Lepisosteus oculatus: one gene and its partner. The protein of the gene in region 1 purifies or fractionates together with the protein of each later gene. This does not show direct contact. Links are inferred from orthologs where the notes say so. Each region holds a gene or a part of one and is shown in the gene's direction. Other genes may lie near its edges.

Region 1 (7,725 bases):
ATTGAAGTTATTGAATTGACTCACCAATATAGGGGTTTTATGGTTATCATTTCTTTATTTTATCTTTTATTATTCATTTCAGAATGATTTATTTTATTAATTTAAAAATTAATTACTTTTGTCACACAATTAAGAATCCGTTCATTTAAGTGGTATGTATGCATAGCTACTGTAATTCCAGAGGTGAACTATACTTCCTGCTTTAATAGTAGCTGTGTGGTCATTATTTAAATACGAAATTTAAAAAGATTAATGGAAAAGCTACTTATCCATAAGTACAGACTTCATGCTTATATTGAAAAATTAATTCAAATACAAACTGGTGATTGAATGCCCAGGTCCAAAGATTTCTGATAAAAAGACAATACTGTACATATTTTTAAATGGTACAAAAGTATTTCAGTTACACCAGTGAAATAAATATCTCTGGCTTGTGTGAATATTACAATTTAACTGAATTGTATTGTGTACTTTATAGTTCAATGGATGTTAAAATTTTGTTTTAGTATTGAAGAGGTCCTTTCTATGTGATATATGCATTTATAATGAAAGACAGTTTGACATTTTTGATACAGTATATTGAAAATTAGGGAAAATAAAGGTGTATTTGTGTGTGAAGGGAACAATACTGTTATGTTGTTTAAAAATGTCACTTAACATTAAAAGTTGTAATTATACTAAATTATGCTCTTAAAATGTGGCAAAACAAAACATAAGAAGTACTTAGTTATAGGTTTATTCCATGCTGAAAAAAAGAAGAAAGAGAACACAACATTTCTGCCGTGGAGCCTTCTTCAGGTGTGAGAGAGACAGGGCAGTAGGCAAAGGTAAAGTAGCGGGAGAAGAAAGGTTGGGAGGGAGGAGGAGTGAGAGGCGGGAGCAGGGGACAGAAAGAGAGGCCAATCAAGAGGTGTGAAGTCAGAATGGGTGCAGAGAGGTGTGAAATGAAACTTCCAATGAATGGAGAAAATTTAAAAGAACAGTAGTCTGTCGTTAAGGGAAGGGAGAATGTGTGATCCTAGCTGCAGAATAATTTTAGTTTCGGTGGTCTTTCTGATGTATGAGTTTGGAAAACCGTCTTTGAGAACACAGACGGAGAGATTAGAGTGGTCGTGGCCGTCAGAGGTGAAATGAGAAACAATGGGCTTGGAGAGATCTTTAATCTTCACAGCCCTTATGTGTTCTCTGAAGCGGTCTCCGAGTCTCCTTCCTGTTTCTCCAATGTAGATGGCTGGGCATTTACTGCAAGAGATACAGTAAATAAGGTTGCTGGAGGTACAAGATGCTGTCTGGGTGATCCGGAACTGTCCTGAGGGGCCTTGAATGAGTGTGGTGTTGGCTGTGTACTTGCAGGTGATACAGCGGTACCATAAGAAGTACTTGATCAGTTCTCAAGTAATCCATATGTGAAAAGAAAATCAAATTGAAGACTAATCAAGAAGATTGTTATAAATATACAGTATGCAAATATACCCATAAAAAAGAAGTTGCTCCTCTCCTAAAGGTTAATAATTGATTACAAGTGTTACATTTTAGCTTATTTAGTTTTTTTAAGATTTGAAAAGTTCATACTTGCAGTACATAGTGTATAGCAGTCAAATACAATTACGTATATCAGTATACAGTATAAGATAAACTTTTTAAATGTTAAAAGTTTTATTAAACTATAATTTATATATATAAATTATAATTTTCTACCTATGTTTTGTTGACATAATAATAATAAAACATTGTTTGCTAGTTTCAATTTAGCTGTGAATGTATGTTTTATAGCTAATTTAATAAGACTGTCTCATTCTATTCCAAGAATAAAATTGTTTTACTTCACTCTGGATTAACAATAACTACTTAATTAGCATGGTGCCCTTGCCATTTGCATGTGCTGCTAACAATGATTATTTGCTCGTTTTTTCATTCAAGTTTGTTTCTCTTCGCTAAAGTCAGTGCATACGGTATCATTGCTTTAGTATCATTATTGTTTAGTTTCTTATAAATGAAATCAAAAGCCTAAATTCCTTTGCAAATGACTGCAAAGGTGTTTTGTTTCAGAAATTTTATATACAATTTAATTTCAGGGACATATTTATCAGTTGTATTAAGGACATGCAGCTCCACCTTCTAGTGCAAACTAAAGTTACAGTAGATGTAAATCTAAGGGGCTGAAAAAGCAGTTGTGTGTTCAAGATAACCCTCCCCAGTTCACTGTACACACTTGAAGCCAACTTGTGCTGTGTTAACCTATCCTATGATTTACATTGATATGCATACAAACATTCCAAAAGACGCAAAGCTCTGTAGTTGACGTCAGATTTTGCAGTGCATGCTGTACCTTGTTCTTTCATTCGTCTGTAGATTACTTTCAATTGTAACAATTCCTTTTGTGGATGATTAAAATATGCCTTTTGTAGTTCTCTTCTTAGTGGGGAAGGGGATCATACTGCAAGTTAAAAGTGTCTGCACTGCATCATTAAATGATGATGTCATTAAATGACATTTAAATGAACAATTTAAATGTGCAAATGTAAAGGATCAGAGTTAGCATTTGGATCTTGTTTTCATTATGGCAAATTACAGTACTACTGTATGGCAAAATTAGAATGTTTCTGTGTGCTCAATGAAAGGGACTTCTTTCTGTTTTTGTAAGGCAGACAACCTAAACTATGCCATAATGTACATCATTTCTTCATGAATGAATGACCAGAGGAAAAAAAATCCCAAACCAAATGTCCTGTGACTGCTTATATTAGATGTTGTACTGTAGTACATCAGAATAGAGTGATTCTTGAAGATACATTCTAAATAATTACTTTGTGTAATTTTGTCTGCTTCCTAAGGAAACAGCCCTCACAATTCATTGATATTATCATGGTGCTGGTTCTTTCATTGGCAGCAGTAAACAGTATTATTTTGATTCAACTGCATGCAATTGCAGTGAAATTAGCTTCTCATATTGGTACAAAGGCATCAGGAAAGGAAAACTTTCACAGAGACCTCATTTTTAAATTGATACTGTATTCTGTCTAACCAAGTTGTACTGTAGTTTTGTAGAAAATACTGTTAGAAATACTTTGTTAAAAATGTGTTATGCTCAATTGTGCCCCTGGCTGTAATCTGTAACAAACATAACACCTATTAAACCTTTTGTAGTGAAATCTCCATGTCTAGTTATTTATTCTGCATAAACATTGACACCTTTCCCATGTTAGATTAATGAGAACTCAAATTCGGTTGTGCACACTTGACTTCAAACAAGACCACATTTTTCTGAGTTATCAAGATTCAACCTAAAAACAATATTTGAAAGTGTAGCACAATACAGAACTCTCATATATACTATACAGTATATACTTTTAATGCTTTGTGGTTCTGTATTTTGCTGTGTGCATTTGGTCATGAAAGGGATTGGTAATTCTGGTCTGCAGAACCTCAGCCTACTGTATTCTTGGCCTTAAATAAGTTGGGATGCTTCAGCAGAGATCAGTCCAATATTGCCTATACTGTATGTTCCCCCACTTGGTTCATGTACAGTAATTGAACATGCCATGGCAGAGCTGCAAAAATGCAGAAGTTCATTTGCATTTCCCCAGCTATAGTATGCTAGTCTCTTATCTCTTGTCCCAGCTGCAAGTTACTGTATACCGTAAAGAAACTATATTCAGTGGTGGCTTGCAGAAGTTCCAGGTAAACCTCCTGTGCTGGGATGAGCACACCTGTGTGTGACTACTATGTGACAGCTATAAAGACCTGGATTGTGTGTGTGGGCAGGGCAATGCAGTGGGGGTTGGGGTAGAAATGCGAGTCCTCCAGAAGACAGGAGGGTGTGGTAGGACCTCCACTTTCCACAGTAGTTGACGAATGACACTGCATGGAATGAGAAGCTGTCTTTGTCTGGTTGCTCGGCTGTTGTACCCAGGCTGTGGAGATAACATCAGATGGTCTTCTCTGGGTGCCTGCACACGTTCTGCTACATTTGGACTACAATGTCAGGCTTGCTTTCCTTTCCACATTTTATAACTTGAAATGTCTGTTCTGTTGACTAGGAGAGCATACAGTACAGCAGAGGATGAACACATAAACACTTGTCACTCATTTGAGAGCAGACAGCTTCTTACACCTTATTCCAGTGGATCCTAAAGTATCGTTGAAAACGGCATTACTCGTGTTATGTTCCTGCTTGTTGAAAATGTTACTGTTCAAACTTGGGGGGGAAAAATCTACTGGTTTTCATCAGTTTCCTGTCTGTGAAATGGCTGCAGGCTTAAACATTTAACCTGCTACAGCAGGCACTTATGTGATTATGATGTGGCTTGAACTGCCTGTTTAAATCACAGTGGGTGTCTATTTAATTTACCTCTCTCTCTCTAGGTTGATTTGAGTAATATCCTCTCTACACAGACTTTGTCGAAGCCATTGTTTTATTGTTTGTTTAAGGATTTGGAAGCAACACTTTCACCACCAACAATAACAATAATAATAACACAACATGCGGATAAGTAAAACCACACTAAAGTGGTCATTTCCGTTACAAAAGTGATGTTTGTGAACAAACGGCATAACGTTTTACAGTATTCCTGAAGATCAATAATAAATTTCGCGAGTTCGAAACTGATAGCGCTTGCTTAGTACATGCTGGAGAATTACGAAATACCGGAAAGCAGTGAATTTCAACATCGCACAGAACATACCTGGCACAACTGCACATGAGCAGAAGTTGTGAATCATGTCAGTCGGCAGGATTTACTTTACCTGTTAATGCATTTATCTGCAGCGCAATAATCCCCCTCCCAGTGGTGACGTCAGAACCTCCGCTGGCTGAGAGACTTTATTCGGCTCAATTCTCGCCACAAGTAATTCAGGAGAACGAAGGAGGAGCTGTCAAAGTTTCTGTGCTAAGGAAAGAAAAGTAACGCCGCTGACGCCTTCCCAAAATTTCCTACTATTTCCCTTTGACAGCTAGAGAGGGAGAAAGTAGAGGCTTTATTCACCACACAAAATTTGTCAGTACCAGTATGGAATAAAAAAGAACATATTTGAAGGAGAAGAGAAGAAACGAAGAGCTCAAGAAAACTCGCAGCAATGCAATTCGAAATTGCGATCGTCCTGTCTTCCTTGCTCACTCTTGGCTGTTGCAGTATACAGGACAAGAGAGGTAAGTGAAAGAAAGATAACTTGTACAAGACCTTTCCTGAAGACATGCAACTGTTTGTTAATAGTAATTTAATGACCCGGGAGTAAAGTTTTAATACACTAAGCTTTGAAACAATCTCGTATTGCTTTGTTCGCGTTTGTATATCTGTAGTTTGTTCAAGATACAGAGGCAGCGTGGGAAACTGTAGTACCGGTACAGTGCTTCCTTGTTGCAGGAATGAGGAGTACAGCAGATTACTTCTTACCTTACACTAGAATTTGTTCTGCGTTTGTCGTATGAGTATCGAATTAACATCAGTGCAAAGCCTTAGGAAATAAAGAGGTACATATTATTATTATTATTATTATTATTATTATTATTATTATTATTATTATTATTATTATTATTATAGTTTCAAAAGACCTACAAGAATGGGATGCCCGCAAAGTGCAAGGCAACTGATAATCACAACAGGGAAAACTGATATGTTAACTTTTTTTACGGAGTGATTCTTATTTTAAATGAATAAATGCGTTCCTTAATGATCAGGCAAATGTTATTTCGTGGTATCTGGATGGATACGTTATGGTGTTTTAGAGAAATGTATTGCGTTGTAAGTCATTTAGTAATCGAGGAATGGAGAAGCGCTATTGTGGAGTATTATGCTGCAAAAGTGAAGGGAAACGTTAAGTATTTCAGTATTTGCGGACTTAAATAATAGCGAACTATATGAAATGAAGTTAATCATCTACTGTATTTTACAAGAAGACGTCGCACAGGTATATACAGTAGTCAAACAAGCATCAGTGCCAGTGTACAATGTATAAAACAAAGATTCCTTCATGTCCAATTTCAAAATCACATTTTTAATAAAATGGGTAAGACAAAGTCATTCTGTTTACGATGTCATACAAAACATATCCAGATCATTCGTGAACAAATATCTCGCAATAAAATAGGTGGCACGACGACTACTACAAACCACCGAATAAACCAGCAGGTTGAAGTGTTCCGAGTGCCCAGTCATCTCGTCCTGAAATCGAAAGTACAGTAATTCTCAGAAAAGATAAAGCACACCAAAAGCAAATGCAATGCCAATTATACGTTTTATCTGTGTTTGAAAACTTTAAATTGGTATCATTTTCGTATTGTCCATCAACTCTTTGAGTGTAACAAGATCTTCATTGTTAGAGGCTGGCAGAATCCACAGTAAGGGGAGTAGTAGGTCAAACGCTACTGTGCCAGTATAAAGTCAATGGCACATCTGTCTGCTGATCCGAAAAAAAAAAACCCCGCTTGAAATTCTGAGAGTTCTCTATAGTCAATATACAGGAAAAGTAAATAATGCAGGAAATTTGTTTTAGTGGTAGAATTTCTTAAATTTAAAGGCAATATTGGTTTCTCGGATCGGTAGGATTAGTTAAAACCAAGTGGAGACATCAGCCCCGCAGGATTCCTCTTTCGAAGTCTTGTTGATGAACTAGAGCACTTAACTGCGCAAACCTTGTGCCTGCGACGTGCAAAATAGATAAAACATGTACTTTAAGGATTTTTTTTTCAGAGAAGAGAAATAGCACAGAAGTTTACTAAACATTTACTTAAAATGCGCATCATATTATGCAAAATATAGTATTAATAATGTTAAAACCGCTTTCTTTCAAGGTCTATTTGATTTTATTGTATAAACACTATTTCAAAAACAGGGTTATCAGAGTCTTAAGTGTTATGTCATTTGAGATAGAGAAGAGATAGGAGTCAAAGTTTTCCTTCCTGAATCCCAGTGGAATAATGCTTTAGTTGAATGACAAGTTGATAAGGTTATGGTTAGCACTGCTGCCTCGCAGGTCCTGGGTTGTAGGTTCAGTGTCTGGAGTGTGGTGCCTTCTGTGTGGAGTTTGCATGCTTGCCCTGTGTTTTTGTGTGGCTTTTCTAGGTGTTCCATCTTCCTCCTTTCAAATGCAAGCCGACTCGGTTAACTAATGTCTCAATGGACTGGCATTGTGTCCTGCCTTGCAGCCTGTTTTTCTAGTCTAGGGTAGTCTCTGAGTTTCCATTATGAGAATAAAAGCTTTTCTGATAACAACTGAACGGTGAGGTAATGTGCCTCTTTTTTGAGGTGACCTGAAGTGATGTAAACATGAAGAAAGTTATTTATATAATATAAACACAGTACAAATTGTGCCTTTTTATACATGAGATTAGGAGGAAGTTTAAAACCTGATGTCCTTTTTACATGATCAAAAAACTCTACCATTCCTTCAGTTTGATTCTACTTGCTATAAATTCCACAAGTGGCTAGCAAAACAGCTAATTTCTAGAGAAACTGTGTTTTTTTGTTTTAGGTAACTTTTCTAAACCTTTGTACAGTATTTTCCTTCATGTGCTGTACTCCCATTTGTCTTTTCAGACTCTGAAGATGTATTTCACAGCATGCAAGTAACCTGTTAAAACAATGACAATGCGTGTTGTTTTCTCTAAAATTAAATTCTAGGCAGAGAGTGATTTTTGGGTTTGTTACTGAGTACACGGGCCAATTCTCTCTGGTGAACAGTTGGGAGATGTCTGTGTTTCGGGTTGTCTCAGTGCGCTCTGTGTTG
Region 2 (6,853 bases), on another chromosome or scaffold:
AGATACACACTGTCACCCTAAAAGGTGTTGCAGTTGAATGATTCACACAAAAAATGAAGGCTTTACTACACTAGGCTTGAGGAACAATAGCTTGGTAATCCAACCTGTTGACTAACCAGTCAGAACCCTCCCCAGGAAGTGACATTGGTGGTTAGAGTGGGATTCTTTGAAAGGATGTTCGAGTACAATTTGGCGCGATGAGAAGTTGGCATTCTCTGATTAATACCCTGGGGATTTTGACCCCCAAGTCTGGCCATGTAGAAGTGGCAGTCAGAACTGTCCGATAAAAATCTTGTATTTCTGCACTGTTGATCCGGTGATTGGTGGGAGCTCGTATAATGTCTTTCTTCTAAACATTCATTGACAAATTGCATATCCTCTGCAAACTGGAAATTTATTAATTGTCTAGATTTATGTTTCAAGTCCTAGCCCACACTGCCAGGGCCAAAGCACTATATTGGTGGTAACCATGGGATTGAGAAGCCTGTTGTTTGACAATCGGTGTGGACACAGAAAAACGCATGACATCTGGAAGCTGTTGAGGTAGTTGAGGTGAGGTAGCGCTGCACACAGTTTCACATTTATACATAGAAGCTGCACACTACCCACGACAGCATCCAGACCTTTTGGAGATGTAAAGAAAAGCTTGCCTGCAGCAATGGGGACCTGTGTTTAATAGCCATCAATTTTCTATAGCCTTCCAGTGTTATGAGAAGATCAAAGACTATACCAGAGATCAACATTATTCAGATAGAGCAGTCATGGATGTCGGAAAGGCCAGCCGTGGAATGAACAGTAGGGACCCTATGCACAGCGGCAAAAAGCGGGACAAACACAGCTCCCGGCTCAGGAGTCAGGCGGTGTTGGGGATGAGGCATATGCCCTCAGGACACGGACGTGGGGTGACCTGGTGCTAAGCGGGCCTCGCGACATTTGTACCTTAATGCTGAGCCAGGAACACTGGAGACACAGGGACTAAATAGGAAATGGAAACCAGACACACCGGAAGAACATGAATAATCACACAAAACTAGGAAAAGGAATGAAGTAGAGTGCCCTCTAGGGGTAGGATGTCGACCGAGATAGTACCGCACATAGAAAAAGCTGCACAGCACAGGGGGGAAGAAAAACCTCATTTATCTGTCAGGAAACCTCCGGGAGTCCACGGCTGACAGCTACCCCCTCCTCCAGGGTTATACAATAAACTTTATTAACATATGGTAGAGGGAGCCGAAAGTCTCTCGTGGACTGTGACAGAGCAGTGCTTTTCATCATACTTCTACGCTTGTCCTATACTATATTGCATACATCAACATAGCATTTTGCAACACTTCTGACTTTACTCTTCGTATAAGAAAGTTCAACCAAACGTACATATGCATTGTTTTATACATTTACCAATATGCCATAGAGATCATTCTTCCCAGTGTCAGCACTGAACTGCTCCCTGCTGGTACTCACAGTAGAAACCCACTCCAGCACTGCGAGTGCTGATCCACAGAATGGCAAAGACCAGCGCAAGGCTCCTGTAGGATGACACTCTCTTCTCTGAGCTCGGCTGAGTCCCTGGGAATGGGAAGAAGAGACTTGGTGATCTTTGATGACTTCAGTGCCAGTACAGTACTTGAAAACACCAGAGCTGTCCTTTTGCCATTGCTATCTTTTTATAACAGGTCATCAACTTAAAGATAACTGTCAGAATTAAACAAAGGAACAGCACTGCGCTCATTCAGCAAATTGGGTTCTGTATTCTGTGCAACTGGGGCTGTCAAAGAGGGAAGTAGAAAGTGATATTTTTTTTTATATTTTATAGTATCACCACAATTTTATATTGGTACATTTTATTGTATTGTTGAATGTTTCATTTATATTCATATTATTGGAGACTAGAAGGCAAAAAAGAAAGAACCACACTGTAACTGTAAATTATGTGCAAGAAATTACACATCATACCGTGGCAATGGATTTTTAGAAATATGGTTTGTTTTTCAAATTATGTTTTTTTGTTTTTTTATGTATGTGTTTATGTAATTTTTTGTTTAAATTATGTTTTTTATCCCTGGGTGGGTCAAGGGGAGGGGAGAGCTGTTGTGGGGAAATGTGTAGAACTCTCCCCTTCCTTTAGTTTTTTTATTTTCTTTAGGAAAACAATCTGACAGCCTGGAAGTGTCTCCTGAGCTTGAGAAGGAACATTACATGTCTCTGCCTCGGCTTAGACCCGCTGTCTCTTATGGAACTCTGACTGTCTTTAACATCTCCATTCCATTTGCCCAATATCTTCGCTCATCCGTCATTTCCACACGAATCCTGTGACACTGCCACCCCTTGGCAGGAGTTTAGCTCTGCATTCTTTCTGGATCCATTCTGTGGATTATAAGATAAGATATGAATTTGCTTTAGGAATCTGTCTTTTCACATATTCCAGCTTGCTCTCCATGAGACACACAGGCAGGGAGAGAGAAGCTGGGGGTCAGAGGGCAGGGTCAGCCATTGTACCGCACCCCTGGAGCAGTTGGGGTTAAGGGCCTTGCTCAGGGGCCCCACGGAGTAGGATTCCTCTGCCGGCTGCAGGATTTGAACCGGCAACCTTCCAGCCACAGGCGCAGATCCTGAGCCACAGAGCACAGAGTTTAGCTCTGGATTCTTTCTGGATCCATTCTGTGGGTGTGGTTGGCAAGTAACCACTTTGAAAATGGACGATTGTCCCCTAGGCTGAGTGTCCAGTGAATCGCCCATCCATTTTCAAACCACTTTATCCACTCCACGATCACGGGGGAGCTGGAGCCCATCCCAGAGAGCAACTGGTGCAAAGTGGTTTACAACCTGAATGGGACTCCAGTCTGTCACAGGGCACTCACAGACACAGACGTCCACACTCACACCAGCGTCGGCTTTCCTAGAAGCCCATTAACACACCAGTATTTCCTTGGACTGTGAGAGGAGACCAGAGCAAACGCCTGTGAACACAGGGAGAGCCTACAAACTCCACACAGAAGGCACCCTATGTCTATAAAAAAGTACCTGGTACTCTTATTAGCTGGGAGTAAGAAGGAGTTACTCTGATGCAAAATGTTGCTGGATCACAGAATTGGTTACGATTAATTCATTTACTTCAAATGTCTTTAATTTTATTTGAGGGTTTAAATAAGGAGAACACAAAGGTCATTAACCCTAAGTAACTCGCTAAGAGAAAGGTGTTTTGAAAATTCCATATGTTGTCTGTTCCAATGAGAATTTGCAAAGGAGATAAACAAGATACCTTTCACACGTTTGTCCTGTTTTTGTATTGAATACACCACTACAGTATTTTCATTATTGCAAATAATAATCTGTATACTGAATTAGCTGCACAAGTCCTGTCAAGGTACTCCAGTGTGAAATCTCAGGAGAAGCACAGGTATTTATAGGTACAGAATGTGTACATTTATGCCGTTAAAGCCCTCAGACTATGAGGCAGAGCAGAGACAGTAAAAAGAAGCCCGCGCAGTTTCTCTATCTGTACCTTATTCAAGACAAACTGTTGAAGAATAAATTAATGAAGCCAGAATACTTCAATACTTTATTGATAAGACAAACCGTTAGAACACAAATGTTGTTTCCAGACACGCAACAGCGGTTAAACGGTACGCTTTATTTCATGAAAGCAGATGATTTGTATTCATACACGGGTAATGTCTTTAAAATATTAATCTCGTATGTGGTCATACGACCAGGGGTGCTGTGTTTGTACCGTCCGTATTCAGAGCGAGACGGATCGCAGCTCGTCCAATACAATTTCATCCGGGGGAATTGTCGCCGGCTATGAGCCATCGCGTTCACGGAAATGAATAGTAGGAAACAGAACTTGAAGCCTCACAAAAGCCACATTCACACAGGGGAAAGGTCTTCGGTGAAGTCAGGCATCTCTTAAGTCGCCTTATCCGTAAAGCATTTTCTCTTTTTTTCGACAGGAAAACCAAACTCCTAATTAGGTGCAAAGCGGACAATGAGAACTTTGCCGACCGCTACATCCTCGAAAAACGAAGGGGTGAGGGACGGGTTGTTATTGTTTTTTTTTCCAACTAGCCTGTTCCCAGGTAATTTTTTGGGCGGGGGGATTTTAAAGAGTGGAGCTCCTCATAACTTTAATTATTAAAAATAATAACTTAGTACTGGTATTGCATATTCTTCCTTTAAGGGCTCATGACACTGCTGGAATCTCCACTTATTTTTAAGTCTGTGAAAACTTTTTGTTTTTGCCTCGAACGAATTTTAATGCTGCGGATTGCAATTTTGTAATCCTGATCTCTTACAATTTTTAGATTTTTTTTATTGTCTCTTTGTACTGTATGATTGTATTGAATACTTTGTTTTATACATGCAGATTTTATATTATGCATTATTGCACTGTTAATAGTTCATTATATGCCCAGTTGGAATAAAACCCGTTTAAAATAGATCGGAAAAAAACTACAGCACCCAGAATTCAAAGGGCCGGCATCGGACTTCCGCGCTGACATCACCTAACCAGGGCACCTTTCAAGATGGCGGCGGCAGCAGAGGCGCAGGATAATGAACTGGACGAGTTGTTAGACAGTAAGGACGGTACTTCTTCTGTAAATGTCGGATGTTCAAAGGAGTAGCTGGCGTTCATCGGTGAAGGAGAGGGCGTCCCAGTGTGAAAATTTTGGTTGCTGAACAGAGTACACGGTGTAACCTGTCACCCAAGACAGTTGAAACGCAGAATGATTAAACGAGTGGTTTTGCGAAATAGAGAAAAAAGAAGGGTTTTTTCTATTTTTTAAAGCTGGTTCTATCAGCATTGCCGCAGTTATTGTTATCTCTGTTAGGCAGTTGAAGCTGTAGTAGCAGTTTATTATTATACTTGCCATTGCTTTGAGAAGAAAATGACACTTAAAGAAGTGTCTGCTGTTTTCAAGTCGGATGTTGATGCCAGAATTTCAACATTTTAACACTTAAGCCACATTTAACGATATCAGCTCAGTAGATTGCGAATACTCTTGCTGTATATAGCAGTAAGTGAGGCATGCATGTCAGGTAAGACTACACTCGTGTGTCGCTGTCCCGTTTTGGAATCGGGAGCACCAGCATGTAAAATGCACCCGAGTTGATGCACCTGATTGTTAACTCTGACGACTGGGAATCGATATTTGCTGGTGGTTATGATGGCTGTTGTTAATGTTGAACAGTCAAGACCCTATACGTCCTTCGACTCGCAGCCCTGTTCTGTGTCTAGCACTACCGCGGCGTTTAAAAACGTGTCGCTCCTGCCCATCACAGATCCGACCTCAAAACTTGAGTGCTTTTCGGAAACCCCCCCCCGGCACAACCCACTGCTGTGTGTAGTTTAAATGCAGAGTGATAGGCCTGGGGTCAGACGTACATTCTTCCCCAAAATAACAAATCGATCCTCAGGATTCCTAGAATTCTGCTGGAATCCGAACCAGTTCTGAACCTACTGGGGGAGGAAACTCAATAGAGCTGCAGCCTGGTGTGTGATCTCCTGTCACAGCCTGAGGAACAGTGAGCCTGTCTCTCAATAATAGTAATACAGTGTGTGATCTCCTGTCACAGCCTGAGGAACAGACAGTGAGCCCGTCTCTCAATAATAATAATACAGTGTGTGATCTCCTGTCCCAGCCTGAGGAACAGACAGTGAGTCTGTCTCTCAATAATAATAATACAGTGTGTGATCTCCTGTCCCAGCCTTAGGAACAGTGAGCCTGTCTCTCAGTAATAATAATACAGTGTGTGATCTCCTGTCACAGCCTGAGGAACAGTGAGCCTGTCTCTCAATAATAATAATAATAATAATAATAATAATAATAATAATAATAATAATACTGTGTGTGATCTCCTGTCACAGCCTGAGGAACAGACAGTGAGCCTGTCTCTCAATAATAATAATAATACAGTGTGTGATCTCCTGTCCCAGCCTGAGGAACAGTGAGCCTGTCTCTCAGTAATAATAATACAGTGTGTGATCTCCTGTCCCAGCCTGAGGAACAGACAGTGAGCCTGTCTCTCAATAATAATAATACAGTGTGTGATCTCCTGTCCCAGCCTGAGGAACAGTGAGCCTGTCTCTCAATAATAATAATACAGTGTGTGATCTCCTGTCCCAGCCTGAGGAACAGTGAGCCAGTCTCTCAATAATAATAATACAGTGTGTCATCTCCTGTCCCAGCCCGAGGAACAGTGAGCCTGTCTCTCAGTAATAATAATAATAATAATAATAATAATAATAATAATAATAATAATACAGAATGTGTTCTCATATCCCAGCCTGAGGAACAGATAGTAAGCCAGTCTCTCAATACTAAAACAGTGTGTGATCTCCTGTCACAGCGTGAGGATTAGACAGTGACCATCTCCAATAACAATAAAAATAAAAGATCTGTAGCCCAGTATGTGATCTCCTGTCACAGTCTGAAGCAGAGACTCAGTGTCTGTCTTGAAAGTTTTGGCAGCACTTCAGTTCATCCATGATGCCAATAAAGCCATTTCAAATTGAATTTGGGTCTCAAGCTAAATTCCTGTGGGACCCAAGCAGAGAAGTCCATCCCTGGTGCAGGTGTGTCCACTGGTTCCCATCCCAGCTCTCAACAGAACTGGCTGGTTACTGGTTTGGCTGGACCACTGGAAGAGTTACCCTCGGCTCGGGCGCTGCAGCTGTACAGTGACCTCGCAAACCTGCTTCTCTCCTGCCAGCTGTGTGCCAGCGTCTGCGTTTGAATAATCCCAGTAGCCGCCAGCGAGACGACCCGAGTCGGGACCGGATTAGATTCTGTTCCTAATTGACGGTTTTCAATTTTCGTTTTTGATCAGGTGCCCTGGACGACTTTGAGAAGAC

The links. Proteins that work in one complex are often made in the same cells at the same time.
Region 2: the proteins of egfra (region 1) and pex19 purify together in Homo sapiens (co-immunoprecipitation; 3 studies listed by BioGRID and IntAct, with this or other methods). This does not show direct contact. The link is inferred for Lepisosteus oculatus from reciprocal best matches to the Homo sapiens genes EGFR and PEX19.

The regions. Positions count from the first base shown.
Region 1 is NC_090701.1:19,951,299-19,959,023, forward strand, and holds the start of egfra (epidermal growth factor receptor), read left to right. Parts: upstream 1-4,718; 5' UTR 4,719-5,076; coding exon 5,077-5,149; intron 5,150-7,725. UniProt on the Homo sapiens protein: Receptor tyrosine kinase binding ligands of the EGF family and activating several signaling cascades to convert extracellular cues into appropriate cellular responses.
Region 2 is NC_090699.1:8,502,310-8,509,162, reverse strand, and holds the start of pex19 (peroxisomal biogenesis factor 19), read left to right. Parts: upstream 1-3,847; 5' UTR 3,848-4,027; intron 4,028-4,437; 5' UTR 4,438-4,523; coding exon 4,524-4,575; intron 4,576-6,828; coding exon 6,829-6,853. UniProt on the Homo sapiens protein: Necessary for early peroxisomal biogenesis. Acts both as a cytosolic chaperone and as an import receptor for peroxisomal membrane proteins (PMPs).